Linked DNA regions of Bombyx mori. Each later gene encodes a partner of the first gene's protein in a complex. Links are inferred from orthologs where the notes say so. Each region holds a gene or a part of one and is shown on either strand. Other genes may lie near its edges. The genes, in order: mitochondrial import inner membrane translocase subunit Tim22; acylglycerol kinase, mitochondrial; Tim10; mitochondrial import inner membrane translocase subunit Tim9A.

Evidence for each region.
Region 2: mitochondrial import inner membrane translocase subunit Tim22 (region 1) and acylglycerol kinase, mitochondrial share a complex: the UniProt entries of both Homo sapiens proteins name them as parts of the TIM22 complex. The link is inferred for Bombyx mori from reciprocal best matches to the Homo sapiens genes TIMM22 and AGK.
Region 3: the proteins of mitochondrial import inner membrane translocase subunit Tim22 (region 1) and Tim10 are in contact, whole or in part, in a cryo-EM structure (PDB 7CGP), measured with the Homo sapiens proteins. The link is inferred for Bombyx mori from reciprocal best matches to the Homo sapiens genes TIMM22 and TIMM10. Residues at the interface, in NP_037469.2 of Homo sapiens: Tyr25, Ser26, Leu28, Leu29, Gln30, Tyr31, Leu32, Val33, Arg40, Leu42, Leu47, Gly48, Glu67, Glu144, Ser145, Tyr146, Gly148, Ser150; in NP_036588.1 of Homo sapiens: Pro3, Ala6, Gln7, Leu9, Ala10, Ala11, Leu13, Glu14, Val15, Met17, Met18, Ala19, Tyr22, Ser44, Lys45, Gly46, Glu47, Arg53, His62, Glu63, Gly66, Leu69, Thr70, Ser73, Met74.
Region 4: the proteins of mitochondrial import inner membrane translocase subunit Tim22 (region 1) and mitochondrial import inner membrane translocase subunit Tim9A are in contact, whole or in part, in a cryo-EM structure (PDB 7CGP), measured with the Homo sapiens proteins. The link is inferred for Bombyx mori from reciprocal best matches to the Homo sapiens genes TIMM22 and TIMM9. Residues at the interface, in NP_037469.2 of Homo sapiens: Asp35, Arg37, Gln38, Pro39, Arg40, Leu42, Gly45, Ser46, Leu47, Gly49, Ile50, Ser52, Pro53, Lys60; in NP_001291414.1 of Homo sapiens: Gln13, Glu16, Phe17, Thr20, Leu57, Thr60, Gln61, Met65, Phe67, His71, Gln74, Asn75, Leu78, Lys81.

What each region holds. Positions count from the first base shown.
Region 1 is NC_085122.1:12,603,283-12,611,759, reverse strand, and holds mitochondrial import inner membrane translocase subunit Tim22, read left to right. Parts: upstream 1-3,769; 5' UTR 3,770-3,900; coding exon 3,901-4,129; intron 4,130-4,904; coding exon 4,905-5,168; intron 5,169-5,858; coding exon 5,859-5,944; 3' UTR 5,945-5,988; downstream 5,989-8,477. UniProt on the Homo sapiens protein: Essential core component of the TIM22 complex, a complex that mediates the import and insertion of multi-pass transmembrane proteins into the mitochondrial inner membrane. In the TIM22 complex, it constitutes the voltage-activated and signal-gated channel.
Region 2 is NC_085118.1:2,012,155-2,020,677, forward strand, and holds acylglycerol kinase, mitochondrial, read right to left. Parts: upstream 5,531-8,523; 5' UTR 5,147-5,530; coding exon 5,037-5,146; intron 4,758-5,036; coding exon 4,577-4,757; intron 3,524-4,576; coding exon 3,406-3,523; intron 2,142-3,405; coding exon 1,315-2,141; 3' UTR 1,299-1,314; downstream 1-1,298. Other genes in the region: transcriptional protein SWT1, read left to right, coding at 6,814-6,942, 7,069-7,207, 7,446-8,266. UniProt on the Homo sapiens protein: Lipid kinase that can phosphorylate both monoacylglycerol and diacylglycerol to form lysophosphatidic acid (LPA) and phosphatidic acid (PA), respectively. Does not phosphorylate sphingosine. Phosphorylates ceramide.
Region 3 is NC_085130.1:5,897,954-5,906,460, reverse strand, and holds Tim10 (mitochondrial intermembrane space translocase subunit Tim10), read left to right. Parts: upstream 1-3,896; 5' UTR 3,897-4,026; intron 4,027-4,883; 5' UTR 4,884-5,046; intron 5,047-5,384; 5' UTR 5,385-5,427; coding exon 5,428-5,569; intron 5,570-6,386; coding exon 6,387-6,526; 3' UTR 6,527-6,585; downstream 6,586-8,507. Other genes in the region: uncharacterized protein LOC134201240, read left to right, coding at 209-616; GPI mannosyltransferase 1, read right to left, coding at 7,816-8,507.
Region 4 is NC_085124.1:8,577,360-8,584,746, forward strand, and holds mitochondrial import inner membrane translocase subunit Tim9A, read left to right. Parts: upstream 1-4,093; 5' UTR 4,094-4,208; coding exon 4,209-4,253; intron 4,254-4,449; coding exon 4,450-4,545; intron 4,546-5,252; coding exon 5,253-5,387; 3' UTR 5,388-5,524; downstream 5,525-7,387. Other genes in the region: 26S protease regulatory subunit 6B, read right to left, coding at 408-611, 1,489-1,650, 2,431-2,602, 3,091-3,183, 3,258-3,290; keratin-associated protein 10-7, read right to left, coding at 6,353-6,820. UniProt on the Homo sapiens protein: Mitochondrial intermembrane chaperone that participates in the import and insertion of multi-pass transmembrane proteins into the mitochondrial inner membrane.

The DNA.
Region 1 (8,477 bases):
AGTCCAAAAATATATAGGTGACAAAAGAAGCGGTGCGGTGAAAAGAAAAGGTGCGGTGCGGTCGGCGATAGTCTTCTTTTTTATTTTGACTTTTGCTTTTATGATCTTTTTTATAATTGGCCATGCGATATGTTTTATGTTTACTCTCATTAAAAAAGAACCATTATCTGTAACTGTATCCGTGGCTTTTTTTTTTTTGTTAGTTCTATGTGTTTACGTCATGTTGTTTATTCTGTAGAGTTGAAGCTAAGTAGTAGCTGTCGGCGATTGAGTACCATCATTTTACAATATACAGAGTATCAGCTGTTTCAACAAATAGGTTTATTTCCTTTCTTCGAAGGCAGACTAGCACAAGGTCTATCAGTTACCAATAAAACTAAATAAATTTGATTTTTTTTAGTGAAAACAAGTTTATTCTAAAGCTACTAAAACATCACTATTTTGTGACACCTTGTATTTATATAATTTCTCTTTTCTTCTAGATTTCCAACATTTGATTTCTTCTTTTGATAGTACATATTCTCCACTGACTGTAACTGCATGTAGTTTCTCTGTAAATACATTATTTATTTTCGTTATTGCCTAGTTAATTTGTACAAGCCAAACATGCATCCAACCTAATAAAAATATAGGCACTGCCTTTATCAGAAATGTGAAGAAAACCAACATCTGGAAGCCCTGGGAATGGGTAGTTTAATCAACGCATCATATTGACTTAGCTGATATTCATGATGAAGAAAATTTGAAATGTTTTGAGTTATTTGAAAGAATGATGATTGAAAACATAAAGCTAAGTTACTCGCAGGCATCTGTGGCGTGTAGCCATCATACAATACAAGATATATGGCAGATGCCCGAATCTCGCTTACGACATTTTTAAGATAAGCTTGCATATCGATGCCTCCAATGAACACTACGCTAACTCCAAATTTGGTAGATTTGCAGGAAGAGCGTTTAAACGAAAAAAGTTAATAAAATCTTTATTATTGCAGATATATTTATGGTTTTTTTGTGTAACTAGCTGATTTACTTTTGCTCCGAACCCCATCAATAATGATTAATTATAATACTTTTAACATAATGAAGCGATTTGCGTGAAAAACGAAAATTTCAAAATTTTGAGTTAGAGTAGTGTTCATTGGAGGCATCGATATATACAATTTCCGAATGACAACATTCGGACCGTCGATCTACGGAGCAATATCACCCGCTCGGTGAAAGATCTTTCTTTTATCGTTTAAGCCTCCTACACTAGTGACCCCAACGTGATTTGAACACGCAACCTCCCACACATCCAATCAAGTGGTTTCATCTAAACATAAGTATGTGTTCACTGTTTCTCGCTTCTATTTTTAAGATGATCTAGATTGATTGGGGTCACCATGAGAAAAACCAACTGTCACTTGTTCAATCTGCTCTTTCATGAAATGTTTAGAGATAATGCTTCTTTAAAGCAGAACTACTCCACAGCAGATTTAGATATTTCTGTAGTGATGATTGTAGAATAATTTGGATAGCATTTTCTAATAATATTGAATTAACTTCATCCTCCAAAAAAAACAGAATTTGCAAGTTTTTTTTTTTATTGCTTGTGGGTGGACGAGCTCACAGCCCACCTGGTGTTAAGTGGTTACTGGAGCCCATAGACATCATCTACGACGTAAATGCGCCACCCACCTTGAGATATAAGTTCTAAGGTCTCAATATAGTTACAGCGGCTGCCCCACCCTTCAAACCGAAACTCATTACTGCTTCACGGCAGAAATAGGTGGGGTGGTGGTACCTACCCGTGCGGACTCACAAGAAGTCCTACCACCAGTAAACTTTCCTAACTCACCTATGTCATCTGAGTCAGGACCAACTTTACTATACTTTAACAGTTTCGCTTCACAATTATGTTTCTCAGTGGATATGTCCTTAATGTCATCACAAGATAAAAATCCATTTGAATTCTTGAACAATTTTACACCTCCCTTTATTTTGCGTTTTCTGTAATAAATATACACAAATTTGGTGAATCTTCAAAAAAGTTCCATCACAATTAATAAACTTTTGTATATAGTTAAAATTGTTTTAACTGTGTAACCTGTGATTTATAAGATAATAAAGTCAAATAAAAAAATATAAAAAAATAATGCTTCAATGAGTGAACAATCTCGCAGCCCTGTTGTCATAACTGATACAGATCATTTTTTCATACTTAAGAGCAGAGTATGTGCTTCACAACCAAAGTAAACAACATGGTAGTTGCCAACTCATGTGGGCCTAAAATACATTCAACTACCAGTCATTACCAGAATTTATATCTTTCCAGGTTTAATATTTATTATACAATGCTATTGCTTTATTGTGGAAGTCATTAATAAACATGAACTATGAATCTGCAGGATTTCAACACCAGCATAGTGACATAGCTTAGTATTGTGTACACCAGGTGTGTTATATGTAGACCATAATGACTTCAATTTGATATAATGTATACAATTTTGTGGAGCAATTGCTCCAGTTCCAGCTACTGGTTTGCTGATTTTAGGAGTATACAGTAAAATACAAATAATCTAACAAAAGTTTGCCAGTAGTAAATAATATTTCAACTCGTAAAGACCAATTTTAATAATACCAACATTACACTTTTGTGTATCATTTATGTTTGTAATCTGAGTTACTGGTCTCTAAGAAAGTATACCCTCGATAAAAATATTCTTAAAATGTCCAGATGATAAATGATAAAAGTTCACATTAATGCGTAGTTCCAGTATCATAAGCACTATCATCTTTTGCGGTGAAAATAAACATTTACTTTGGTTGAACAGGGTCCACATCTACAAATCTTGTATTTTTCTGTATGACAGCTGATAATTTAGCACCAATTCTTTTTTGCATTTCTTCTGGAACCTTCACATCATTGTAGTGGCTTGATATTTCTAAGTAACGTTGGGAGACGGGCTTTTCTTCAATGCCTTGAATAAAAAAAAAGGTTTGTAAGTGTAACTATACATATTATTTATTTAATTAAAAATGAATGTTTCTCTCGAATACTTAATTTGCATTTCATTAAAAGATGGAAATATATAATAATAGCATTATAATAATAAACATAATAAGCAAATAATTTATTTTACTATTCTTTCATATTTAATCATTGCTATTTACTTTATGCAGATGCCATAGTTTCTAACCTACTAGGTAAAAAGAGTAGAAGGATAATTATCGGTGTATACACATGTTTACGCATTAAATGTTTAACGGAGGGCTCGTATGTATACTACTTTAAATAATATAAGTACCTTGAATTGTTTTAGATCCTGTAACACGAGTTTGGGATAGAGATTTAACGAAAGAGTTGTCGACGACGTCTTTGAAACGCGATAGGTCTTCATCTTCAGATGAATCTGACATAGCTAACCACTGATTATAATAAAAAATGTATAATATGATAAGGAATAACTAACCACAACATTGCTGAAATAAAATATTTTTGTTTTGTTTTTTATAAATTATTTTTAATAGCCTGGATTCTGGTCTTTTAGCCAAATCTTCATTACTTTCTTAACAGACCTTGTCCTCAAAAAGCAGATTAGAGCGAAACGGAATGAAGTTGGTTTATTTGAAATTATATAAGTAGTTCCATCAAAATTATGGAGGTTTACTGGTATTTGAAGCACATTTTTGAAGAACAAGAGCCAGGTCCAGCTATTTTGTACCGTACTTTTCCGTCAAAGCGAAACTGCCTATTGAATTAATCATTTACGTCAAGTGTCAGATACCAGCTGTTTTTAGGTTACTTTTAAAAGTTTTAAGCTCTATTAGGTACCTAGGTCCCTACTTAAATACTAGTGAATAAACTTTAGTTACCTGCATTTAATATTTAAACCTTAATGTCAACACATAGCGATAAGTATGGGTGAATACCGGAGACCACCTCCAGACCAAAATTTAGTGAACTTTACCCAAAATAGTGATTATGATTCGCTTGCAAAATATTTGATAGGCAACAACTACAGATTTCGTGAAAATATCATTATACCAAGAATTCTTGGACCTGTTATAATTAAAACCAATGAGGAGAAGATGATCGAGGCAACGGTTGAGAGCTGTCCCTTTAAATCATTGACTAGTTGTATAATTGGTAAGTTAAGTGCTTACAGTAATATTGTATCTTCGGCTAATTTTTATTTTTTATTGCTTAGATATGTGGAAGAACTCACAGCCCATCTAGTGTTAAGTGGTTACTGGGGGCTAACGCCACCCACCTTGAGATATAAGTTCTAAGATCTCATTTGAGTTACAACGGCTGCTGTATACCCTTCAAACCGAAACGCATTACTGCTTCACGGCAAAAATAGGCAGGGCGGTGGTACCTACCCGCGTGGACTCACAAGAGGTCCTATCACTAGTAATTATGCAAATTATAATTTTGCAGGTTTGATTTTTGTTACACATTGTTATTCCTTCACTGTGGCTCAACACCAATACACCGAACGTCTTATCCTTTAGGCCACGAGATCTTCGAAATACAAACACCAATGCAGTGAAGCATTGATCGGGATTTAAGAGTTCAAACTTTCCCCCACATTATTCTGCACCAGCCCTACCTAATTGCATAGATTGCATAAAACGCCCACATTGATATCCACATGGTTTCTTTAGTCTGCCTTTGGGTATCTTCAGAACTATGCCTAAATGATGCTCATCTGTGCTCACAAACACTACACTATTTTGTTTTTACTGTTAAAACTAACCAAATAAAAAAGGTGTACTTTTCATATTCTATAATTGGTATTGTGTGAAAAGATTAACATTTTGCCAAAAATGCTTACTTTTTTTTTTAACTTAACAATGAAAGTTTTACTGTTACCTATAACTAATAGCTAACAGGGTACAAAAACATTTTTTTATTACAGGATATGGTCTCGGAGCAGCAGTGGGTCTATTCACATCTTCCCTGATGCCTAACGTAACAGATACTACTGCCCAACAAAATCAAACGGCTAGAGAGATTTTACGGGAAATGAAAAACTCCATGTTGAGTTATGGAAAAAACTTTGCGATACTTGGTGCTGTGTTTTCTGGGGTCGAGTGTTGTATCGAAACAGCAAGGGGGAAGTCCGACTGGAAGAACGGTACTTATGCTGGAGGAATTACAGGAGGATTAATTGGATTAAGAGGTATGGTGCATTTTAATCATTTTTAAAGTAATGTATTGTCTAGTCTATTTCTCTTCTTTGGATTGTAGTTGTTTGCTACCAAATATTTATCAATCGGAGTTCTATAGAAAATTCTTAGTAGTAGAGATTGATTTCTCCTTTTACCATTATTGTTGAGCTTGGCTTGGTTTCCATTTAATGTTATGCACTCTAAATAAATAATATAATAAAATAGTATCAAATATCTGTTGTCATGTATTGTGTCAACCATAATATAACTAATATAGTATAGTATAGTAATATAGTAATAGTACTCACTCACTTCTCAAAATTAAATATTTTTAGATATTGATTCTCAAGACGTAAACCATTACCTCAAGATTAGAATTCACATACATATATTTTAGTTATCAACATTTTGAAAAAAAAAAAGGTATCTACCTATTCAAAAATATTTTATTGAAGTCTGCCTTAAGTAAAGACTGTAAAAACAAAACATAAATATCAAAAAATTGGAGGAGAAAATGTTAAAGTATGTTATTGTTACCACATCCATGGGCTATGATTTCCGTTTTATATTTAGCTATATAATTCTATGTATATATTTAGTGAAATATAATTTTTTTTTATCAACAACTAAACTTCTCCAAATTAAACATTCTGAAAAATTGCAAATTAAGCACTAAAATCTTGGAAAAATTCTTATTACAGGTGGATTAAAAGCTGGCATGTTTGGAGCGATGGGATTTGCAGCCTTTTCCACGATCATTGACTACTATATGCATCAACGGGCTTAAATAATAATTTAGTTTATTTTATCAATAAAATGTTAGTAATGTTATTTTTTTTATATATTTCTACTACGCAAGATAACTTATTTATTGTCCATAAATATGACAAAACTGTTTTTTTAACCTTATTTGAAAAATGACTTACGTATTATGCATGCATAATGATTTCAGAAATTCAGGACACCGAATAGTCAGTCAAGCTAATCAGAGATAAGGGGTACAGTCTGTGGTGAACATTAACTTACAACCTTCCCATTACTTCATCTGTGGTTGCAGTATTTTCTCTTCACTTTCACAAATCTACTAGAACGTTGACTACTGCCCCGAGCAAACAGGATCTCATTGAAGACTGCGATAGACTTATCATAGTGATGATGAGAATTCCACCCTATTCACCGTAGGCACTCAAACAGCATGGAAGTTGTGATGTCGCAAAATTTTGGTAACCATATATTGAATGGGTGGGGGTACTAGAACTATGGACCGTGTGGACCATCCACTGCTAGGTGCTTAGGCTGTCTCCCAGACTGGCGGTACTGATTTAAAATACAATACGCCTATCTACCATTCTCTTTGTCGTGGAAGTTTATGATTCCTAAGAAAATTTGGTATTTGACAATGTGATTTTAACGCTTTTTTTTTTATTGTTTAGATGAGTGGACGAGCTTACATCTACAACGTAAATGCGCCACCCACCTCGAGATATAAGTTCTAAGGTCTCAGTATAGTTGAGCTGGGCTGCCCCACCCTTCAAACCGAAACGCATTACTCCTTCACGGCAGAAATAGGCGGGGTGGTGATACCTACCCGTGCGGACTCACAAGAGGTCCTACCACCAGTAAATAGCATAGCACAGCTTGTTCGTGTACAATGATCATTTTCTCTCACGCCAACTAGTTCAACATACTGGCGTGACACGATAACCTTATCGTGGCCGCTAATTACATATTCGACCCAGTCGACAGGGCAACGTAAAGCCCTCCTTTTTTTTATTACCCTTGTAAGCAGACGAGCATACGGCCCATCTGATGGTGAGTAGTTACCGTCGCCCATGGACTTCAGCAATGAGAGGGGCAGAGCCAAGCTGCTGTCTACCGCTTAATACTCTCCACAACCCTCGTTGCCCGAAACATGTTTAAGCGAATCCCCCCGATGCACTCTCGGTGCTTTTAGGCTCTTCAAACACTGGTCACCATCCTCGTCAAACTCAATTACGAGTTCCACGAGGACGACCGATGCGAGAGAGAGATCTGTCACGATTCCGATCCGGTGGTAGGCTCTGCAAGACGCTGCTCTTGGTATGGATAGTGTTTGAAAATTCTCTCAGGTTGAGCCGGTAACCTCACCTACCCATCCGCGCCTAGCTGAAATAATCTCAAGCTACCAGCGAATAGGTAGGGGGAAAGGAAAGGAAGGAAAAGAGGATTACTGATATAAACTTCCGTAGAAATATAGAAAAAATATGTGTCCAGTTAACTGGTGAACTGTGTAAAAGGACACAGTGTGTAATGGAATAGTTCTTAAAAATGTACATAGCAAATAGGTAGTGTTAGCTCCTTAAAAATATGAAGCAGCGCCAGAACGCTATTTCGCGCCAGCGACGTGTTACGATAGTCGATAACCTTCTCATCATGGCCGCAGCTTACACAACAGCTAGGCGCTATTGAATCCATAGACAGTTTCATATGGGTCTGCTTGATTGTATTTTTGAACGATTCTACTTCTAATGCAAGCAGCAGCTATAGTGCAATGTGCTTAATGAGAGTTTTTTAACGTTCTCGATAGCGTAAAAGTTATATCAAATTTGTAGGTATGCTGTTGGAACAGCGCCCCTAGCGGCAAACGCTCTAACTTCATCGAAAACGTTAAAAACTCGCACTAAGCACACAGGCCACTGTACTCGTGCCAATTGAAGAGTTGAACGTGATATAGCTTAAAAGCCCGCTGAGTTCCTCGCCGGATCATTTCAGCGAGTCGCGTTTCCGATCTTGTTGTAGATGCACTCGCGAAGGAACTGGCCTTGAACTGAAAGTGTCGTTTAGAGGCACTCGAGAAATTGTTAGCAAACTCAACCCAAAATAGTGTTTGTTCAGGTGTCCTAATGAAGCTTGATAGGTCGCCGGACCGCCAGTCTGTCTTAAAAAAACTGTTTGTCTAACGCTGCAACATTTTTAATTGCGGACCATTGTTTGCAATGTAACACAATTCAAAAAGGTAAGGCAGTTTGAACGGTCGAGAGGAGTTGCGGGAGCTTATTTTAAGCTGTACAAACAATACTTTTCAAAAATTTGACTAAATCCATCGTAAACCTGTTATATGTTCATACTGTTTGTTTTTGAAGCGACCGAATGAGCGATCCGTTCAGTTTCTGTTACGAGTTTGTGAGGTATGCGAGCTGTACCCATACGATAAATGCCGAATAACCAATACTTGCCGGAACAGATCATAGATACTAGACCAGACCGACTTTTTTATGATTGAAGGATTACTGGTGGCCCGGAGGCCTTTCCAGTTTCACCAGGACAGGTGGGCGAGCAAA
Region 2 (8,523 bases), on another chromosome or scaffold:
TTAGGGGTGGACTACCCCTAACATTTAGGGGGATGAAAAATAGATGTTGGCCGATTCTCATAGATACCGGATAAGCACAAAAAATTTCATCAAAATCGGTCAAGCCGTTTCGGAGGAGTATGGCAACGAAAACTGTGACACGAGAATTTTATATATTAGATATTGTCTTCGGTGTTTCAACTTTTTTTCCCTACCTAATCTGAGAGCCTTGAGAGGCTATATCAGCGTAACCTTAACTAGTAGGTGAGCTCACGGGGCTCAAACCTGACGACGTTGCTAACACGGACCCTAGCAAGAACAGTGCTTCGCAGAATCTACCACCGGGTCGGAAACGCGACCCACTGAGAAGATCCGGCGAGAAACTCAGTGGGCTGTGTCTGTCGGTAAATTTTTATCATTAACCCTTTGACTGTCATGTAGGGCACCGGTGCCCTACGCGACGCACTGAAGTAATTACGTCAATTTCTGTTAGTAAGCGCGTGGATTGCCCTTTGCTTTTCTTTTGAATGTATGTCTTTTTTGGTGAGAGTCAGCGCCAGGTGGCTCCTGTGCGCTGCTCACGGTGTGTCTCCCGAGACGACGTCCTACGGGATCTTCCCGGGGATGGAATCCCGTCCTATTGTCAGGACTATAAAAAAAAAAAGATACAAACATTATGGTGGTTGCGAAGTTAATGCTTGAAAGGAGTTCCCAATTTCAATTAAAATTAGATTTGTCCAAAATTGTTTGTCGATTGATTTTGAATTTTCAACATTAGCGCTAGACTCTATAATCTTACATGTTCGACTGTTAATTGAGATAATTTTTGCAAGATTTTTGCGAGATAAAAATAATTTAAAATCTATAGTGTAACGCAGCGTTCCGTTTCGCGGGGCAATAGTAGCCAAAGGGATTGTGACTCAGGTCCGTGCCGCGACGACCCACCCCGCGCTACCCGCGCCCGCGCATCTATTGCATCATTCGCACCCCCAGTTGGTGCGCGCCAGACTTTGAAGCGGAATACACGCGTCCCCGGTCGATACCGGAACTGACAACCCGAGAGTCTCATGCCAGTCGGGCACCTAACATTAAACTGGCGCCCAACGTTGGGGCGGGGCGGGGTGGGTCGTCGCGGCACGGACCTGAGTCACAATCCCTTTGGCTACTGTTGCCCCGCGAAACGGAACGCTGCGTTACAATAGTGCCTATAGTAATTTACCGTTGACGTTTATATAGTAGTATTTCGGTGCTCCATATACTGCAACCGGCTAATATTGAAGCTTTCATAAAATGACTGTGTTACATTAAAAAGCATCATGAACATTTAACAATTATTTATTGACAGAATAATTTAATAACTTTTGGCATTAACGTTATTTTAATTGGTTTCATATCAAAATCCTCCTTGTCGATTTCTATAACTGTATCTCTATCCGTTTCTTTAGGTGTGATCTCGATGGTACGTGCAAAAATTGGCTCTGGATCCGAGTTTGTCTTTATTCTGCGCCAACCTTCAGACACAAAGTCGGTGTATGAGTAACTGTTTCTGCCCAGAAATATACTCAAGGCTGGTATCTGATGGTTCATTGCAACATTCTGCGTTTTAATTTTGAAATCGCAAGTTCGAAAGCACAGTTCTTTCGATGTCAGGCACTCTGGATTTAGAATCTTCGTTTGGTCAAGCTGCCCAGCCGCTTCGGTGGACGAAACAAAGAACCATTTTCGTTTTACTTCCGGCCTTTTAGCTGTACAGTTGGTGCACCCGACACACGGAGGAGTATATTTGATGGTGCCGCTGCAATTCCAGTTTAATGAACTCTTGTAACCATTGAAGATGTAGGCAGCATACTCTCTTAAAGGACCATAGAACCAGTACTTATCCTTCTTTGCTAGGGTGTCCCTAAAAGCTCCCCACTCCATTGATGCCATAGCGTAAATCGGACGATTAGGAGTTTCAGACTCATCAGTAACTTGTTCTATTTTCATGGCATCTTTCCATACTGTGTTTCCTTTGATGATTGCCATTGAGGCGGTGATCAACTGCTTAACTTTTTGTACACCCTTACCGTTTGGAAATAAAGTGTTACCGATTGAGTTTGTGCGTCCGAGTGGCAACACTCCTACTGGAAACATGTTTGCTTGATCATTTCGTCTTAACAATCCTGAAACAGATGATATATGTACCATATATAAATGTACGTATGATATGTATATGTAGTATTTAAGATATTATAAATGAGGCCTATAAAATCAAAGGCAGCTATATCCATGTCTGTCAAATATTCAGGTAAACTACAAAAATCGGCCCTAAACACGTCATTACGGATCCTCCCGATCCATCGAAGTACTGCTCTTGCTAGGGCCAGTGTTAGCAACACTCCCGGTTTGAGAATCTGAAATAACTTTGTTCGATAGTTTTTTTTTTTTTTTGGTCATGAGGAAATCGCCGGACTTCCGCTCTTTTCTGGGGATACACGATATTCTTTTATTATTATTTTATTTATTATTTTATTATTATTTTATTTTATTTATTTTAAAACAGATTTATAAAGAATGAGAATATTACTAATAATCAGAATTTTAAATGATAAAACTTCGTTTATTAGTACTTAATACAGAGTAAACATAACTTTTTTGAACTGAATTTGTTAGAGATTTAGCTGCATTTGTTATAACATGAAAACACTAAAGCATGTTCAACTAACTAAACAAGATAGAGCCATTGTTAATACATTTTACGACATTATGGCGTTTAGCTGCCTTTGATTTTATAGGCCTCAAATATATATATGTTTTTAGGATACAATTTATTCAGAAAAATTATCTAATTATTATTATTCACTCAAAATTTAAATCATAACAGTCCCCACTGTGGCCTCCATTTACAGAGTATTCCAAGGCAATGTATAATGAATATAAGTCGTCGTAGCCCAAAGGATAAGACGTCCGGTGCATTCGTATCTAACGATGCACGGGTGTTCGAATCCCGCAGGCGGGTACCAATTTTTCTATTGAAATACGTACTTCACAAATGTTCATGATTGACTTCCACAGTGAAGGAATAACATGTAATAAAAATCAAACCCGCAAAAATTCTAATTTGCCTAATTACTGGTGGTAGAACCTCTTGTGCTGCCGTGATGCAGTAATGCGTTTCGGTTTGAAGGGTGGGGCAGCCGTTGTAACTATACTGAGACCTTTGAACTCATATCTCAAGGTGGTTGGCGCATTTACGTTGTAGATGTCTATGGGCTCCAGCAACCACTTTAAATCAGGTGGGCTGTGAGCTCATCCACCCATCTAAGCAATAAAAAAAAGAAAAAGAATAATGTACATATATAATAGCTCCGTATGTAGCATTTGTAGGAAATAAGAAATAAAAATATTCAGCTTGAACTTTCATGTGTAATGCAAACACATTCTTACCAGTTACAGTCTCAGACAAAGTACCATCTCCTCCTGCAACAATAATAGCTTCAGTACCCCTTAATGTTTCTACAATTTCTTTTGCATTTCCTTCTGAAGCTGTTTGCACAACATCTACCTGAAAAGTTTGTGATTGTTGTATAGTTGTGCTAAGCACATGGGTCATGTGTCAAGGAGAATGGTATTCATGAATTGAATCCATCAAACTATTTCTACTTGTGGTAAGACATCTTGTAAGTCTCTGTGTGGGTAGGTACCACCACCCTGCCTATTTTTTGCTGAGAAGCAGTAATGCAATTTGGTTTGAAGGGTGGGGCAGTCATTGTACTGTAAAAATGAAGACTTTAGAACGCATATCTCAAGGTAGGTAGCTAGATTTACATTGTAGATGTGTATAGGCTTCGTTAGCCACTTAACACCAGGTGGTCCGTGAGCTCATCCATCCATAGAGCAATTAAAGCTATGGGCTGTAAATATATTGATTTGAATTAGATGAAAATATTGATCTAGATTAAAGAAGCGAAATCTTTACATTTTATTTCAGATTTTTATCAAATATATGTAACATAAAATGCAAATTCTTTATACAGTAGACCAGCACTAATTTAATATGCCTGTAACTGGATCATATCAGGTCTGGATCATATCATTTAGATTAAGAGACATATTGCTTAATATGTGACATTTATCTTTGTAAATAAAGCTAATGAAATAGCCTTTTACCCCTCAATATAAATTAATTCTGTTAAATTTTCATTAATGCATGTTTGAACTATGTATACAACATAATTCAAACCCCATTGCAAGACATTTGTCTAATGACAGATCAAATGTATAAACAATTTATTGAAAACTAGTTGACCTAGCACTTTTTAGTGCCTCAATCGATAAATAAAATACCTAAGCTTTTGTATAAAATAAACTTAGAACAAACAAATGGAATCCATCCAACAGGGGGGACATATCAAAGGAAAAAAGTGCTATTTTTATTCAATTTTGAGTATTTTCATATTTATCTACCTTTTAAACCTTCTCTGGATTTCCACAAATAATTTAAGACCAAAATTAGCCAAATCGGTCCAGTCGTTCTCTATTTTAGCGAGACTAACGAACAGCAATTCATTTATATATATATATATATAGAATAGATATAGAAGATAGAAGATTATACCTGTAAACCACCTAATAATAGCAATGGTTCACAATATTTCTCAAATTCTTGTTTTGCTTTCCTCTTGTTGGCTACAGGGTTGAGAATAACTGTTATGACTGTGGGGTTTCTTTCGATGGGCAGGAGAGCTTCGCCGTAAATTGCAGCCTCTTTACATGCTGCTCGCATAAGTATATTAATTCTGTTGACAATACATAAACTAGATTTTTTAAACTTAAGTGGTAGGCGCACAGGTGATAAAGGGGCGATTAACTTGGCTGGACAGTTAAAGTGTTGGTCAAATCTTTAGTAGTAGATAGCACATAAGCTGTGGTTCTGGAAATGCTTGTAGTGAGTAGGTACGGTAGCTGCATAACATCAGTTTGGTTCGTATGACTGCCATGGTGAAGAGATGAAAACTTTTTTTGTGAATTAGTAACTCAGTTACAAAATTTAGTTTTTAATTTGAAATTTTACGCACTCATATTTTTCTTTTGCAGTCGCACTAGCGTAGTATATAGCGACTGCACCAAGGACTGATTTCTTCCAATTGTTTCGTATTGTTTTGGCAAACTTCGCTATTCTTTCCATTTTTTTGCATTAAATCGAATAAATCAAACTATAAACATAAACATTTAAGGTTATAGAACTTACAGATCAGCTGTATAATTCTACTTTTTTTTTCAGAATGGCAATCGGCTTCTGGCCATGTCCTTGTTGAGCTGTTTAAAATTTATTGTTTTGTTTTGTTTATTTCGTCTATTCACATAGGAACGAAGTTGGTGAATTGTTTTATTTTGTTAATTTTGCTGTTCTTCAGGCTTCAATGTAATTACCATCCCATCTGTGAAAGCACACAAATGTGGTAAAATGAACAAAGCTGCTGTGCTGAAAAAGTCAACTCAAAAACTAAAAAGTCTCGTAAAATTTATTCTATTTCATCTTGTTTCCTTTTATTTCATCCCAATTGATTAAATGCTATTTCACTATTTATTTTTTTCATAATCTATGACTCGAAAGTCTTTTTATGCCATTAGGACTTTTTGGCGGGAACGCGAGGAGTGAAGTTGTGTGATTTGTTTTATTTTGTCTATTTAGTGTCTCTTCAGGTTTAAATGTGTAATAATGGTGGTTTATTAACTGTTTAATATCTGTGAAAGTGCACAAATGTGGGAAAATGAAACAAAGCTGCTGGACGTAACTTCTCGGGTTCCTTCAAAAAGACCACTGAAAAAATCTCAGTAAATGACCACCATTTTACTGCGATTATATTTCATCCCATATCATTTCATTTCATTAAATTTCATCCCAGTTGCTTAATGTCTCATTAATCATCTTCATTTCATTCCACTCCATATTATCATTTTTCATAAAATTAAGAATATAAAGTAAAATAAGACATGACTTAAAGGTCTTAGTTACCAGGTCATAAAATCTCTTAAAAAAAAAAAGTTTATGCCATTAAAATTCCTAAAAAAAAAGTCAATGACAGGTAAAGGAAAAGTAGCTCATACAGTCAAATCCTGGTCGCTCTGCCAAAGCGAAATTTTTGTTGTATAAAAAGTGAAATAGCATGGAAATGAAATTGAGAGGAATAAAATGAAACAATATGAATCCGGTGACATAGGTCAACAACGTAGGTGCAAGATGGGATAAAATAAAATAATCACCGAGTAAAATTATAAAATTTTGATGAATCATAAAAAGAACCTGAGAAGTCAAGTGCAGCTTCATTTTCCCGCAATTTGTGTAGATGTGACCTATGTAGATACTAAACGGTTGATATTGGTCTAGTATTTTTTTTATTACATATCTAAATTTAAGAAGAAACATTAAATTGAGAATATAATAGTAAATCCTTCAGTAATTTTTTGGTGTTCCCGCTAAAAAATTCCAAAATCATGTCATTAAATTGTTACCAGAGTAATCAATTCCTCACAATTCAATTTAATGTGTTCCAATGATTTCACATGCACAATCGATCAATGGGGATGTAAAATATCACTTTATCCATTTTTTTTATCGCTATAAATATTATTTACTTGCATGAAAATTAAATGATGAGTTTTCCGTTGTCAGAAATTAGAAGAATGTGCACATAAAATCGATTTTAACTCAAACTATGACGAAACCATTAAATAATCGAAGTGCAGCACTACGCAATACAAATTGATTTGTCAAGAAATACATTAAACATTATTCGTGATGTGTTAATCAGGAATATTCAAAATAATAACAAATTTAACAAAGTATCTGCCATGAGTTCGAGTTGCAATGAAACATCTCAACTTCCTGATGGCTGGGTACTTTGCACTTCCAAATCAAGTCCTGGAAGGAAGTACTATTTCAATAAAAGAACGGGAAAGTCTTCCTGGACGCAACCACAGGTATTTTTTCTCTATATTTACAGATTTCATCGCTGTTACTACGGTCAACGCCTCAGTAAAATTCATTACAGGAAACGTTTTTACAAATATGTTTACGTTTAATATTGCTTTACCTACCATTCGTAGTTGGACGAGAGTAAAGATAAAAGTAAAAAAGAAAAAGATAATCAAAGGGATATGAAAAGTAAAGAAGAGGAAAAGAAGAGTTTAAAGCGTAAAAATGATGGCTCTGAACAAAACTCCCCAATTCGAAAGCAGAAAGAAGGTACTTTTCAGTCTAGTCTTTATTATGTATTAAATATAAAAAATACTTCTCAAACAATGTTTTTCGTTCTATATAATTTACGTAATCAAAATAGGTTTCAACCTAAACGTAGAAAAGTAAGGATGAGTTTGCAAAGCTAATGGTTTTGTTGGTAACCAGAAATTGTTGTTTTATTGAACCTACCCTAACATTGTACTCCTTCACATAATCACCTTTTTGACAGTTAAAATCTTTTTAGCTAAATCTTCTCCAGGGAAGTGTTGGCCCAGTCTTAATGAAATATCTCTTAAAAATGTAGAAACAAAGAGACAGAGCACAAGTCAAGAGCAAACTCAAAAAGATATCCCGGGGAGAGCACAAGAATCATACAGACACAGCAGCAGCCAAAGAGAGTCAGTCTCTAGAACAGACAGCCCTGACAGACGCACCCCAGCTAAGAATTTAGCTAACACAAGACTCACACAATTAAGGGCCCAACTTTCTTCAGAAGCACAAAAAGAGGAAAATAAAGATTCTACAGTAAAAAAACGCAAAATGTCCACAGACACTGAAACTTCACGTAACAGTAGAACGGAGAAAAGTCCTAGTTCTAGTGATGTAAAGAGTTCAACACAGTCTCCCAGCAGTGAGAGCCTACCATCAATACCATCACCATCACAGTTTTTTGCAGCAAATAAGATTATTTCATCCATGAAAGCTCAGTTACCTGAAGAATATTGTGATAAAGTGAAGCAAAAGGATATGTTTGCTGATATTGAACAAGGAATATATAATCAAGTTACAGAGTATCCATATATGAAACATCCAGCTACTCCACCACAATTTTCAGAAGCCAGCAAACTGGTTTCAGCTATAAAATCTAAGTTGACATATAAAAGTTCTGGTGTTGATTGTGACTTGATTACATATTCATCGGCACAAGATCGCTTAGATGCTCTACGTACAAGGTTGAGCAATGATGCAACTAATGCAGAATATAGCATCAACATTCCGGAAAGTAAGGAAGATTTTGCCTGTAATGAAGCTATGGACGTTGATTTGAAGAGTGAGATAAAAGAGGTTTGTATATTTAAATTTATACAATTTAGTATTCTAATGTATTCTTACATGAATTGTAATGAATATGTTTCTTCACTTTTGTTGTTGATGATTTATCTCAAAACCATTTTCTTTAAAAGATACATAGTATATGAAATTGGAGCTTTTTGTTTGCTAGAATATGCTATATACATATTATATAAAATTTTAGACTTCAAATTGAGCTAGAAAAAATAGATGTTCACCATGACTATAAATCTTTAATCTGATTAAACTAT
Region 3 (8,507 bases), on another chromosome or scaffold:
TTTATTCTTTCATTCATTCGCTATTCAGCCACTCTTGTGCACCCTTAGACATGTGCCTCTCCCAATTTATATTAATAAGCCCAGTCTTCAGCTCTCCTGATCCATTGCTGGTCACTCTGCACAAGTCATCAAGTAACGGACGCTGGCCTAACGACTTCATTTTAAAATGAGAATCCAATATATTACAAAATGAACTTTGATTTTCTAGGGCATCCATACAATAAAGACCGTGGATAGGATTTACAGTCTCACAGAATTGGATGTCGTTTCTAACATGGACTTGTGTTCGAATATTATGACGTATTTTGATAAGATCAAAGGGTTCAAAGTGCCCTGTTACCATTCCTGCGATCTACCAGAATTCATAGAGAAAAATAAAAGGTGTGAAAACTATCATGGCGTCGAAGGGGGCGCCGTATTTGACAAGAAGAAGAATCAATTAATCGGTGTTGCCACATGGGGAGCGTATTATCCTAAATACGAATTACCGGTCGGATACTCTGTGGCGAATTCGGATAACTTCTACGCGGACTACATGTGCGCTAAAAGGATTAAAATGGATAATGATATGTTGGTCACGAACGGACATTACCAGCACATTTGTGATTTTTTCTGAATCATTAAAATGCATAAAATACAATAAATGCTCTTTATTTTTTTGCTTCAATTTAAATTTTAGACTTAACCTATTTTTCGCTATTCACTTAAACACAGAAGTGGCTAACTTAAAAAAAAAAACAAAATGAAAATCAACTATCATTGACATCGAAATTAAATTTAAATTGAGAACTTGAAAAAGAGAACTTAAATTTTTTTGTACTGTCTTTGTTTGCTTCTTCAGTATTGTGATCCTTAGAGTTTCCCTGTATGTTGTCATCGGCTATAACAGACTCTGTGTTACCAATTTTGTTATTTTCTTCTGTAACGGTAGAAATATTTCCATTTTCTATTTGATCTGAAGTCAAATCGAAATTAAAACGGAACGACTCATCTCCTGTAGTTTGAAATACAGATTTCCTAAAAAATGTTGCCTTTGGTTTTTCCTGTACTTCTGATATTTTGATTTTACTTGTCACTGAAAACAATTAAATTTAAATTAAGTATACCTTAATACTGTTGTGAATGTGTGGTTTGATGCCAAATTGGGCAACCACTATCTTCCATGGTTCATATCCGGGCATATATCAAAGTGATTCTCAGTACATCTAGAATAGAACAAATATGCATAATGTAAGTTTAAGTGAAGTAAATAAAAATATCACTAAGCAAATGCAGTATTTCTGTAAATGTTAGTGCTTATAGTCAGGTGGTGGTCAGTCTGCAATGGTGATCACCTCTTGTTAGGTATTCATATTTATGTAATTATTTTTAAGAAAATAATTATTGACCAGTTGTGGTTGAGGTCCTCAAACATTTTATTATAATTTATATATGGATATGGCGAGATTAATATGCAGTTACTAACAAAACAGAAAACTGTAGACAGCTAAAGCAAATAGTCGAAAACCTATTAATAAGCTATCAGTCAATAAGCATTGGCAATAGAAAAATCAATTAATAGGCTAGCGGTCTGTAGTGTTAAGTAGTTCCATTTAGTAGACTTCCAATTTCATATATTATAGCTTCATGAAGATTTGAAAATTAAATACTTTAATTTTAAAACACATTCATATATAGTGATGTGTGTTTCATGCGATAAAAACAAATTTATAAAGCAATTAGATAATAAAGGTAAATAAATGGGGACCACTTTCCACTTATTACCATACAAAGGTGTGCGTGCGACTCATTAAAAGTAAAATATCCTTATTCAAATACTCAATCACAAATATTGAACAGGCATTTTACTATACACATTTAAATCAGAATTAAAAGTATAGTAATATTTCATACTGTTATATTTAATGAACCAGGTGAACACTATGAGTACCTACTTAGCCCCAATATGACCTCATATCAATGCCACAAAATTTGAAAACACAAAGTTTATGTTGGAATTATATACAACACATTTGTACCGTATACTTAAAATTACTGCCACACAAGCGAATTATATTTAATTACCTATAGATATCGGTGATCCATATAAAAATTGATGCACCGATGCTAATAAGATTATAATTGAAAATATCAAGTTAAATGTAGCTTTAGTGTGAAAACATACTTTTAGACAATTTTTTCTCCTCTGAAGCCATTTTAGCTCGATAATCACCGAAATGTGTCCTCATTAATTGTCTCTTCCTTATAATCGGCTGATTATTGTTTTTCAGTACAGTTAAGACTTTCCATGTTTCTTGCACTGAAATCAAAGTCAAATGGATATTGCAAATTTAGTAGGAGGGTAGGTACCGTGCAAATCGAGAATTTTAAATTAAGAACTTTTTTATGAAGGCACGTATTTTGATATTTTGATGTAGCGTATTTTTTAAAACTCGAACATCGCTAAATTGGATAATTTTTTTTTTAATTTGTCTTATTTTAAAACTCACATTGTTTTTCGTTTCCTTTCTTTTCATTTAAAGTTCGCTCTAACTGTTGGATACACCAACATAACTCGAGCTGAAACTGTCGTAACGATTCCTCGGGGTCTACACCTTCGGACTCATGTTTATCAATTTTACAAGGTTTCTGTAAAGATGTCGATTTGCCTTTATTGTGCAATCTTGTTGGTTTAGGCATTTTATTTATGATATTTTATATCGCCACGTTTTGAAACTTTGTTAATTCCAGAGAAGTTTTGATGAAGTGTAATCTGTGTATTATTATAATAACGGATGTATGTAACGTTCTCTTTGTAGTAACGAAACCAAGTCAACAGAGGACACTAACTTGGAAAAAACTGAAAACAAATTTATAGCATAGATAATTAAGTAGCATTTAGATCGGGTGCACATTGTCATTCCTGCCGGCACCAGTTTATTGTCTATGGTTGATACAGACTGTCCCGGTGACTATTTTATTTATTTATTATTGTACAATATATGCAATGCGATAGATTTTTATTTTAGACTAGCTGACCCGGCAGACCTCGTAGTGCTTCAATCGTTAAATAAAAGACCTAAACTTTTGTATAAAATAAACTTAAAACAAACAGCAGGAGTCCGTCCGACGGGGGACACATCAAAGGAAAAACAAATTGTTATTTTTATTTAATTCCAAGCATTTTCATATTTATCTACCTTTCAAACCTTCTCTGGACTTCCACAAATAACTCAAGACCAAAATTAGCCAAATCAGTCAAGCCGTTCTCGAGTTTTAGCGAGACTAACGAACAGCAATTCATTTATATATATATAAGATACGATAAGATAAGATAAGATAGATAGAAGATAGATTAAAGGTATTAAAAACTAAACTTCGCATTATGCCAATAGTTTGATGAATCGTTCGAATTAATTCTCTTCTGTACGTGTTATCAAATAAACCGGCCCAACCGATACGAATGAGTATTTCCGTCCGGGCTTAACATAGACAAATATTTTGAAGAAAAAAAATGTTTGCCAGGGAAGACCGCTGATGATTCTAATAATTCCTCAAATTTCTCATTAATATTAAGTTTAAACGAATCTTGTGTCTAATTTATATTTATGTACTCTATTATGGCAGATTAATCTCTACATTGGAAATCTGTAAGCTTAGCTCAAAAAATTTTATACCAAAAAGTTCACAAAGTTTAATTTATAATTAATAATTTTATTATTTAATTAATTTAATAGTTAATTTATGTATAATATAATTAATATAGCAGATTTTTCATAAAAACCCGTTCCTATGTAATGTTCCTCCTTTTAGTCGATACGCGCCTGCAATATTTCTTTACAATCATACGATCACATAGCGACATCCGGCTGTGACATAACGTTTTAAAAATTGGTACTAAAACGTAACCTTAAAGTTGTAAAAGCAATTCCAAAATTTCATAGTATGCCGCTTGGAAAATTTGGAAAAATTACTCTTTCGTGGTAAATAACTAAATAAGATATACCCAAGTTTATCACCAGCTTACTTTTGATTTACCTTTCGTTGGTGAGCGCAGAATTAAATTCGATTTTACTCATTTCATCATTCGTCTATTTAGCCAAGTTCTATTTTGTGTAAATATAATTCTACAAGATAAGTCAATTACCTATCACAGCGTATTATTATGCTCGCCTTTTATTACTTATTAATAAGAAAACATGAAAATTAAGTTATATACTCCACAACCTTGACTCTCATGTGTCTTCAGCCACAAGAAATCCATCAAAAATAACGTCATAACTTTGGAATAAACGTTAAAAGCGAAGATCTTCGAGCAAGCGGGTTTCATTTCTAGGGTAGACCCACGATCTTTTGTAAATATGCATACTTATCTTGGAAATGTTGTTAATGCGATTCAGTTATTTTGGAAATTACTTATAGTCTATGTTACCTTATACTACTACGCAAATACAAGACGAATCTGTATTCTAAATGAATTTGAACTCACGTTTATGCATTTAGATTAAAACTAGTGGATTTTATATGCATATTTTGTGGATTCTAACTTAATTAAAACTTGATAAGTCTAGTTTCTGAGATAAGTAGCTGTTATCGGCTGTTTCGCCTGTGGCGTTATAGAAATGTGTCAATTTAGTTTCCTGTGGGTATGAGATGTTTTTTTGGAATAAAAATCTCCTGACCTAAAACTATGTCAAAAAAATCATGTTAATTTATTGCTTCATTTTAAAGTGAATTAAAGACAGACAAGCACACTTTTTAATTTATACCATTAGTATCAACGTGTATGATGTAGTATGATTTTATTAATTAAGCTTAGTTATTTTATGTTACACGTTTCACAAATGTTCCAGACCCATTAGCAGAGAGAGGATGTTTTAACCCAGGATCGGTGTTAATTTCAGGTTAGCAATAACAACAGCAAGTTTATCATTATTCGTGGTGGCGAAGAACTACATTAATACTCAGCGTGTTGAGAATATGAAAGCAAGAGAACGCATGCGAAGATCTAATCAAGGAGAATACCCTGACTTGTATCGGAAATTGTGAACTTGAATTCATTATAATGTGAGTATCTCTCTAGTAACTCTAGAAAATACTGGTGAGTAACACTAAATTAACTGGTGATAGGACCTCATGTGAGTCCTCATGGTTAGGTACCACCACCCTGCATATTTCTACCGGGAGCAGTAATGAGTTTCGGTTTGAAGATTGGGGCAGTCGTCCTAACTATAGTGAGAGCTTTGAACCCATATCTCAAGGTGGGTGGCGGCATTTACGTTGTAAATGTCTGGACTCCAGATACAACTTAACACCAAGTGGGCTGTGATCTCGTCCGACTAACTAAGAAAAAAATTTGTATACAGTGTATGAATGTAACTAAAAAATATTTTAATCTACTGTAGTTTCCAGATATACCATTGAACATTACTTAGTTAAAACGTAAAGATGGCAGTACCGCAGCTAGACCCTGCAAAGCTGCAATTGGTGCAGGAACTGGAGATTGAGATGATGTCCGACATGTACAACCGCTTGGTGAGCGCATGTCACCGGAAGTGCATACCAATTAAATATCATGAACCTGAATTAGGTAAGCCAGGCAAAAAAAAATATGGCGAACATTATAATTATAGGGACCTTCAAAATTGTATTCATTGTGACACACAAATGGTTTATTAAACTGTGGTCGTCGTGGCCTAAAGGATAAGACGTCCGGTGAATTCGTATGTAGCGATGCATCGGTGTTAGAATCCCACCAGTAGTTACCAATTTTTCAATCAAATACATACTTAACAAATGTTCGCGATTGACTTCCATGATGAACGAATAATATCAAATAAAAAGTGTAATAGAAATCAAACCCGCAAAATTATAATTTGCATAATTACTGGTGGTAGGACGTCTTGTGAGCCCACTCAGATAGGTACCATCACCCCACCTATTTCTGCCGTGAAGCAGTAATGCGTTTCGGTTTGAAGGGCGGGGCAGCTGTACTGTTAAAAGTGACACCTTACAACTCATGTCTCAAGGTGTGTGGCGGCATTTACGTTCTAGATGTCTATGGGCTCCGGTAACCACTTAACACCCGGTGGGCCGTCTATCTAAGCAATAAAAAAGAAAAGAAAGATAATTATGACCTTCAATGTCCATTTGTTTCTTTTTAAGCCATCACACTTATGAAGTTTATGACCTATAGTTTATAATTATTATTATAAGCTAAGCTTTAGGGTTATACACTGTTACAGGACATCTACAAATACAAAAATATATAGATGATATAAAGATAGGTGATATTTAGAAAACTGATGTAGCATATGCTTTTAAAATAGATACAAGTATTTAAGAGATTTAATTGCCTCGCTTATATAGGATGAGTTAATTTTGAACATGATCTTCTCTTCTTACAGGAAAAGGCGAATCTGTATGTTTAGATCGCTGTGTAGCCAAATACTTGGACGTACATGAACGCATAGGTAAGAAACTTTCCAATATGTCACAAGGAGAAACCGAAGATCTCACAAAGGTCAACATACCAGACAAAAAATAGTACGAAGCTACTACTCACGACAAATCAATCAGTTGCTAGATTTTTCACAGTGACCAGTACAAGACATCTGCAGATTTGAGATATTTTGTTGTGAAAAATTTGCAGTAATATATAGGTGAAGTAGTCTTTCTATATATAATATTAATTCTGCCATTATGTCAGTACTTCACTATGAGAAAACAATCTACTATCACTAGTAATCTCGAGAGATTATGCTACCTTGGTCATCTACCCTAACAAGGGCAGTGCTTCACTTGTGACGTTTGGGAAATAATGTTACTCAATTTTGTCTGTGTAGTTCAAAATTCAAATTTTTATAACCGGTTCTGTAACTGAAACATTGGCTGAAACGCAATTGGTGCAATTATTTTGCCTACTTCTATGAAAACTATTTTTCTAAAACTAGTTTATTTTCATAATTAGTTCAAAGCTCTGTCCAGTGTTGTTACTTCATACGGCTATTCAAAAAAGTTATGTTTATTTATCTCTACACTACCCTCTATGGTACTCTCACAGCTCGACAATATTTTAAAGATACTGTAATACACTGTACTGTAATGCATAAAAAGTAGGATTATGTAAATTTTAAGACAGAAACTAGCGGTTACCGAATGAAACGACCATAGAGTTTAATGAACAAACAAATTTTATTAGCATTCTTTTTTAATCATAATTTAATACTGTTCATGTTTTTCAAGATCAATCAGCCATAAACTGTAAATTTTTTTTTTTAAATTTTTTTATGATTGAAAGATTACTGGTGGCCCGGAGTCCTTTCCAGTTTCACCAGGACACGTGGGACATGTTTTTTTATAAATATGCTGGAATGTCTTACGTGAACACGAAACTTAATTAAATTTATGCTTTTAAATTTCATCGTGATAAAAGCTGAATTGATTTGTCGTAAGTCAAAGCTTACAAAAGTAACGTTTACAAACAATGCGGAGACCGCGTTTCAGAATTCTGAATGTTATGCTAATTAAGGAATTCTCTTATTGAAATGCATTTTTTTTGTTAATTAGCGTGGACTATATGTTTAGGTTGAATTGTTAGATAGTTATTAAAAAATAAAACAAATGAATAAATGCAACAAACGTGTTTTATTTAAAACAAAAAAAAAACAAACCTATCTACAAGACAAAACAAACTATGAATCTACTAAAACGGTATGTACTTACACTAAGTTTTTTAAAATTCGAAAGGCTATCAATTTGATAGAATTAAGCTTTTAACAAAATTAGTGTAGGTCATGATTCTCAAAACAATAAACGAAAAAAAAAAAAAACAATTCATTTCTCTTTTATTCCTTTGCCAGATTCGTTTATCCCGAATGCGTAGCCGGGGCGGTAGTACTTTATAAGCTGCGTCAGTATAAAAACATTACTGCCATAGAACATAACGCTCTGACACCAGATCAACATGAAAACCTGCCTGCATTTGAACTCTAATTGGTACGCGAAAAACAACCAAGCACATTGAGTCGCTATCCAGAGGAAAACCAAGTAAACAATTTTACCTGGTTCCATTTTGAAGTCTTTTAATACCAATGGTAATAACGAGAGGAACCAAATAAAGTACTGTGATGTCATGACGCTGTTATAAGCGACCAGCACGACGGCTTGCGCGAACATTGCGAACGGTAATGTTTTTGGGTCACAACCGTAATTCAGACTCAGCAGGAAAAGTAGAACGCACTTGGAAACCTGTGCCAATATTTTGACAATATCAAATGACATCTGATCTTTCGTTAAATACGTATAGTAGAATAGTATAGAGAAATTGTGCCTAGTGTCTTTCCTGAGGAGATGATAAATATATGTTTCGAATAAGAATTCGTAACCGTATCTCAAGTACATAGCGTACGTTATAAATAAAAGACTTGTAACGCAGCTAAAGGCTAAAATCATTTGGTTCTTGTTGGGTAGCAATGAAACTAGACCCTCTTTGATTGGGGTATTACGATTTATCTTATATTTTCCTA
Region 4 (7,387 bases), on another chromosome or scaffold:
CTGAATTGACTTAGGGTGTGAATAGAGTCATCCGACTCAGCATTATAGTTAAAATATAAGCTAAACTGTTTAAAAATCATTTAATAAATGCTTGTAAGCAGCCTATTTCTGCCGTGAAGCAGTAATGCGTTTCGGTTTGAGGTTATGGCAGCCGTTGTAACTATACTGAAATCTCTGAACTTATATCTCAAGGTGGGTGGCGCATTTGTGTGAGATGTCCATGGACTCCAGTAACCACTTAACACCAGGTGGGCTGTGAGCTCGTCCACCCATCTAAGCAATAAAAAAATTGTAAACATTTGCTAGTAAGCATTTGTAATTTAATTTTAGTTAACAGTTATTAAAGTTTAGACAAATTTCTTTAATTCAAAATATGTACTGAAAATTTCATATTTCTAATATTCTACCTGTAGTGTGATGCGCAACAGCTTTAGCCAGCATAGTTTTGCCACAACCTGGTGGTCCATACATGAGCACACCCCGAGGAGGCTCAATACCGATTTGCCGGTACAACTCTACATGAGTGAGAGGGAGTTCAACAGCTTCTCTAATTTCTTGTTTTTGTGTATCCATGCCTCCAATATCCGAATATTGAACATCAGGTTTCTCATCTGTAAAAAGTAAATTACTTTTTGAGTGTAATCGTCGAAGACTTTCGAAGTCGTGGTGGCCTAAAGGATAAGACGTCCGGTGCATTCATTTCGAAAGACGCAACGGTGTTCGAATCCCGCAGGCGGGTACCAATTTTTGTAGTGAAATGCGTAGGAACTTAACAAATAATCACAATTGACTTCCACAATGGAGAAATAATAGCGTGTAATAAAAATCAAACCCGCAAAATTATAATTTGTTTAATTAATGGTGGTAGGACTGGTAGGGCCCCTTGTGAGTCTGCATCGGTAGGTACCGCCACCCTGCCCATTTCTGCCTTGAAGCAGTAATGCGTTTCCGTTTGAAGGGTGGGACTGCCCTTGTAACTATACTCACTCATATCTCAAGGCCCATCTTGCCCACTCATGGCGGCATTTACGTTCTAGATGTCTCTGGGCTCTTTATGTGTGAGATGTCCATGGGCTCCAGTAACCACTTAACACTAGGTGGGCTGTGAGCTCGTCAAACCACCTATGCAATAAATAAATAAAAGACCGAAAACACACACCGTTCAACTAGCGTCTTGATCAACACTTGATTGATTGATGCATTATTACTGTGCACTAAACACGCTGATAAATAAAAATGAAAATATTCAATTTATTAGAATTACATTTAATTAAATACTAGAGTTGACACTGTATTGAATAATAAAACATATTATAGATGAGATGAGATTCTATGAAAATTCTATCACTTGAACCATCATGGATATGTCACTTCTCATGGATAGTTTCAAATATAGTTAGAATATTGTCAACTAATTAAAAGCACCTGAATGGTTGCACCAACAAGTATAGATTCAGGATAACTTCCTACAGTAGAAATAATACATACCAGCTTGCAACATAGAGATTGAGCTGTCGGCTTCAGGAGGCAAGACGTCAACTAGAGCATTAGAATGCTTATGCAGAGCAACTGAAGCAGATGGCTTCAACAATTCTCTATCAATTGTTGAGAGAATACGGACATAATAATTTGAGCCAGTGGTGCTGCCAACTGAAATAACAAAATAAAATATGTTTTATTCTGGAAGTGGGTGTAAGCGATGCAAACAGCAAATGAGTCGTCTATTATCAAAGGTGGCAATCTGTACATTTGGACAAAAAAAATTTATTGATATGTCAATACAGATTTATTTAAATATAATCGTCTCCTTCAAAGAATACGGTTCAAAACCTGCATTAAATAAAGGTTAATAGTTAACCTGTTATTTATCTAAGATGTCGTTCCGAAGAGTTTTGTGACTGCCAATGGAATACAAAGTCAATAATTCGTTTTTCTGATTTACCAATCATTGTCCAAAAGTCAGATTGCCGCCTTTGATAATAGTCGACTCAAATATAACAAGTATTGGAAATGCCAACAAAGTAATATCAAGATCAAAAAAATATTTTTAATTGCACAGAATTTTGCCACAAAAAAATGTCATTGGATATTCCTGAAGTGTGTACTTATGACTTTATTTGTAGAGAAGTTTTCAACATTTGTTTGACATTTTTCATCACTTTAAATAATGAGCACTGAAAAGTCCAGTCCTCGCCAGCATTAAAAATAATAATGTAAATAAAAAGTAATATTAGGAAGATAGAATAAATTGATTGTAAAATGTAATTTAGTATTTTTTCAGTTTTAGAGTTCTAGACATAATTATAACTACTTCCATAGTTTCATTTCGCATTTTTTAAAGTCAATTTATTAAGTTTCGTATACTTTTCAATATTCATGGTGATACACAGACAATGGTAATTTATATTATTAAATAAATGAACCATTTACCTATGCCTGTATTTTGATCAACTGCCTCAAGAAACTGTCCAATGACAAGAGGAACAGACTGTATGCGCTTTACTTCTTCCTGTGCATGCAAATATTCTTTCTTCAAGTTTCGTTGTTCATCTTTAATGTACTCTTCTTGTACTTCTAAGAACTCTAACATTCTTTGGAGTTTCTGTTAAATTTACATAAAAGTTAATATTTATTGTCTCTTTGTGTATTGCACAATACACTAAAGATAATATGTATTGTGTATTGCAGATTGAAAGTTGTGATTTAGTGTTTTTTATCTACCTATAGCCTCAAGGAACTATTCTGGCTTCACCTGATGTGTAAAGAGCTCACAGCTCAGCCTAAGAGAATTTCCTAACAAGAGCAGTGCTTCTCTGGATCTACCACTGGATCACAATCGTGACCCACTAGTGAGAAACTCAGTAGGTAACTACTACTAGTGGCTAAAGAAAACCATGCAGTTTTTTTCCTTAATGGGCTAATGGGCTCATGGCTATCTTGATGTTACTAGCACAAGATTTATTCTGGTTTGAACGGCAGGGCAGCCACTGTAGTATGGAACTGATGTCTCAAGGTGGGTGGCATCTCATACATTTACTTATTGGTGAAAATGAATAGTTTTAGTGGAGTTTATAAACTTGTTTCACTTACCTTGTACTTTGTGTATAAATCTTCAGATTCGAGTTCATCAAAAGATTGAGGACCAGCAAACGCCAAGCCTTTTGAGTCTGTGACTTGGTCATCCTAAAAAGTTCAATATTATGTGTAAAGGTTGTGTTACAGTTATTCGATTAGTAAGCCTTTTTTTGAATACTTACTTTCTCGGGTAAAATAATTCCAATCTCTTCCATTGTTTCTATAGCTAAGAGATTTCGTGTACTATCTGATTATTATTTGATTATCTGAAATGTGTTTTACACAGAGACAAAGTGTAGTAGACGATCAAACCTGAACATTCGTACCTAGTTATTATTTGGTTATTTTAATTCTTTCTGTCTAAAACTGCAATTCAATGATTTTTGACATTTCGTAGCGCAAACTTTTTAAGATGTGTAGTTTGTTCTTAGTTGATAGGCAAAGGAAATGTAGTCATATCACTCTAATAGCTTTTTTTAAATGAAATGGTTAAATAATTATTTCGTGTTTCATTAGAATGAAGTGAACCCTTTCAAAAGAAAAGTAAAATTAAATAGAATGAAATAAACCAAAATTGGAAATGACTCTGAAACAAAAAAAATCAATAAAATGACATAGGTACCTCAGTTAATTACAAACTGCAATGGAAGCTCTGGAAAATACATAAGAAGTTATGTGAGGCCATTTTTTTCTAAATATTGACATTGTGCATATTGACAAAAATTAAATGAGTCAAGCATACGAATGCATGCAATCTTCCAAGATCAACTTTCAATTTTTATAATGTTGGAAACGCGAAACGTATAACATGGGTCGGCGCGGCGGTCCAGATGCAGACCGCGCTCTGCCCACAGATTGGTATAATAGTTACTACGTGTCTGTTTAAGGTCAAGTCATAGTCAAGTCAAATAGTGAATTCATAATCTTAATATTTGGCTTTTTTAGTCTGTACATTCGCTATACCTTTGCCTGTCAAATGGTACAACAAAATAAAAAAGGCTTCTAATCTAACCTAAAATTGAAACATTACAATAATTCATAAAAATATTAAATAAATATTTAGATTTAATATAAATATTGTAAAAATACTAAACAATCACACTGTTCTAAACTTTTCTTGAAGATATACAGAAATGGCGACCCCTGAAATGATGAGTGAAGTTGATCAAATTAAAACTGTAAATATTTAGTATTTTCACGAAATAATTTGTTAAATAATGTTATTTCTGAATTATTCCACTTATTTAAAAATATAATTTAATTTCTTAAATTCTTTAACATTTCTCCAATAATTATCATCTATATGCCGGTACATTTTGTTTAGTGTTTTCAAATTTCAGTAGAAAATTTAATTTTTTTCAAATTTCATTTCAGTTCAAGGATTTCCTTGTACAATACAACAAGCTGTCTGAACTTTGTTTCAATGATTGCATTCATGATTTTACGTCGAGGACTTTAAAATCTACCGAGGTAAGGAATAGCTCGATTAGTTAACTATATTTTCGTCTGTTACTTTGCCCCCGTGTAACGCTCTTTTATGTGTGTTCCACGGTGGCATGAAATGTAGCTTAATTCTTAGAGGAATATAAGCTTATTACTTTCCCTGATATAATACTATTTTCCCTGAATTTTCAAAATTAGTTCAGCAATTTAAGTGTCAAAATTGAATACAGCAGTTACTTTCTTGTTAATTATATCATTTGAAATATAACTTTCAATCACTGTTAAAAATACCATTTGCAGCATATGATTTTAATGTAAGAAACCTTATGTTCTGTTCAAAATCTGTAATCTGCCCATCTGTCTGTGAAAAACTACATGTAAATGTATACAGTAGATCTGGAGCACTGAATATGGACAGCCAAATAGAGACTGGCAGAAAATAATTACAGGAACTGCTGGCTTCTATAATTCTTTATTTCATTTTTTTCTTTAATGTACAGAGTCACCAGATTCAGTGTTATCTCATGAATATTAATGAGTTTTTTCTTTATTCTCATTTTGTGGCATTTGTTGACAAATAGTTCAAGTAATTATTATTTTTGGCTTTTATTACATTTGACAGGTGAGCATTGTATCCCTGTGATTATTAAAGCAGGATAGCAGTTAGTGGGAATGTTAAATGAAAATGGGTGTTTCATTACATAGATCACTGATTGAAATGTGTTATCTTTTAGGACAAATGCACTGTCAACTGTATGGAGAAATATCTACGAATGAATCAGAGGGTTTCACAAAGATTCCATGAGTTCCAAATGCTTGCCAATGAAAACATGTTAGCATTAGCACAAAAATCTGGTAACCCTAGTTAAAAAGTATGGTATATTTGTGACTTATCTAGTCATTTTCTTTAAGGTGTAGTAAGAGAAAGCACACCCTATATAATGATATACTTGTGCAAATGTACAGTGTATGTCTAAATTGTTGTCAATAAAGTTCTGTTAGACAGATTCTTTGTTTTTCATTGCTTATCATTATTTTCAAATTCACTAATAGTGAATTACTGTCACACTTGGTTGTGTTATGTAAGATTATCATGAAAAAGTTCAATTCGTGTTTTTGATGAATTTATTCTAATTTTTGATAGTAATTGATATGGAAATTCATTAATTTGCTAAATTGTAACTTTCATAGACTAATCATAATTATTAATTTCGAAATTCAAAATGGAAGCATGACATATTTATTTTTTGGTTCCAAAGCTGCCACTGCCTGCACCGTGGCATTGCTTCACGGATCTGATATATCATTACCTGTCTATTTTATCATCATACTACTCGTTGCTAGATTAGAAATCACTAGCTTTATAAGGAGCTGTTTTACATACAATACATTTTATTTTCTTTTTACCATGAAATCTTTTGAGTTAATCCATTTATAGACAGAGATGATCACTTTGTGAGGTCAGTGTGCTTAGCGAATCAATCAATAGCGAAAAAGTTAACTCATATTTGTAGGCAGTTCGAACAGCGCCCCTAGCGGCAAACGTAGGCAAACGTTTTCAACTACATACAAATTTGAGTTACCTAACTTTTATGCTATGGAGAACGTTAAAAAACTCGCACTAAGCACACAACAGTGTGCTTGTACGCCTCACTGTGAATAAAAAAGTGAAAGGTACTTAGGACACAAAACAAGGTAAACAAAAAGGAAAATTGTTAGGTGGCCAAAAAAAGGGAAACTAGTTCTCAACCAGTTTGGGTGGATTTTTTTATAAGAGAAAAATGTATGTTTGTACTGATCAATGTATTAAAACACATACAACTTGTTTCAATCTTTATTTCGGACATGGCTTAAAGCATCTTTGTTCGGGGGGTGAAAAGTCTAAAACGAAGGAAGACTGGGAGCTAGTGTAATCAAAATGGTAATCATTGAATTTAGCCTCTACGCTATACTTTGCGTTCGCTGTTGGTCCTTCATCGGGATCTGTGTTCAGGACGTACTTTAGTGGGTATGGACCAGACGGAGCGTTGTTGACATTGGACGGTTTTGTACATATTGTATATTGTCCTTCGTGCCTTATTATTCTAAGGATAGGCTGTGTAGCCGCAGGCTGTTTGCAGCATGATGGTGAGGATGGACATAGAGCTAGGCATTTCGGAGGCATGCAGCATGGCTTTGAACACAAGGGGCGTGAACAGCTAGAAGGGCAAGGAGTGCAACTGCCCATTCTCATAGAATTATGTTGTTCAATCTTCCGGAGTACAGAACAAGATACATGTCCCGGGCGCCAACCGCATCGTAACTGCAAAAGTAAAGGCTATTAGTAAAATAAATACTCGTACAGTAATTTATTTATTTAATTTATTTATTTCATTTACTTCAGATTTTGCATCTATATTACATTCATTAATATTTCATATAGTATACCAGTATACGCAATAAAACAAAAGCAATAATAATAAAACAAAAAAACCAAATTAACGTCAAAACTACCTTAATCCAAACTCTAAAGGCTGGTTTGGATCCAGAGTGCTCAACATGCACACTTGTCCAGTGTTGCATTATTGGGTAGTCCAGATCCATCCGCGAGGCGAAAGCCGCAGGTACCTGCTGCGACTGACCCGCATGCGGCGAATTAGGGAAGCAATTCGTTTACAATTCATTGTTGCGAAGCTATTAATTCGCGCATCCGCAAACATCCCCGATTTAGTGGTAGTTATACGGCTTTGAACCATTGGCCTGGTTATTGGTGTCACCAGACTATTATGCTTTGGGCTTCGCAGAATAGCCGTAATTTCAACGAAATTCAGACTTCGACCCGTCCATGGTAGACATGGCGTGGCGGCTTTCGCATTGTGTTGTTTATGTA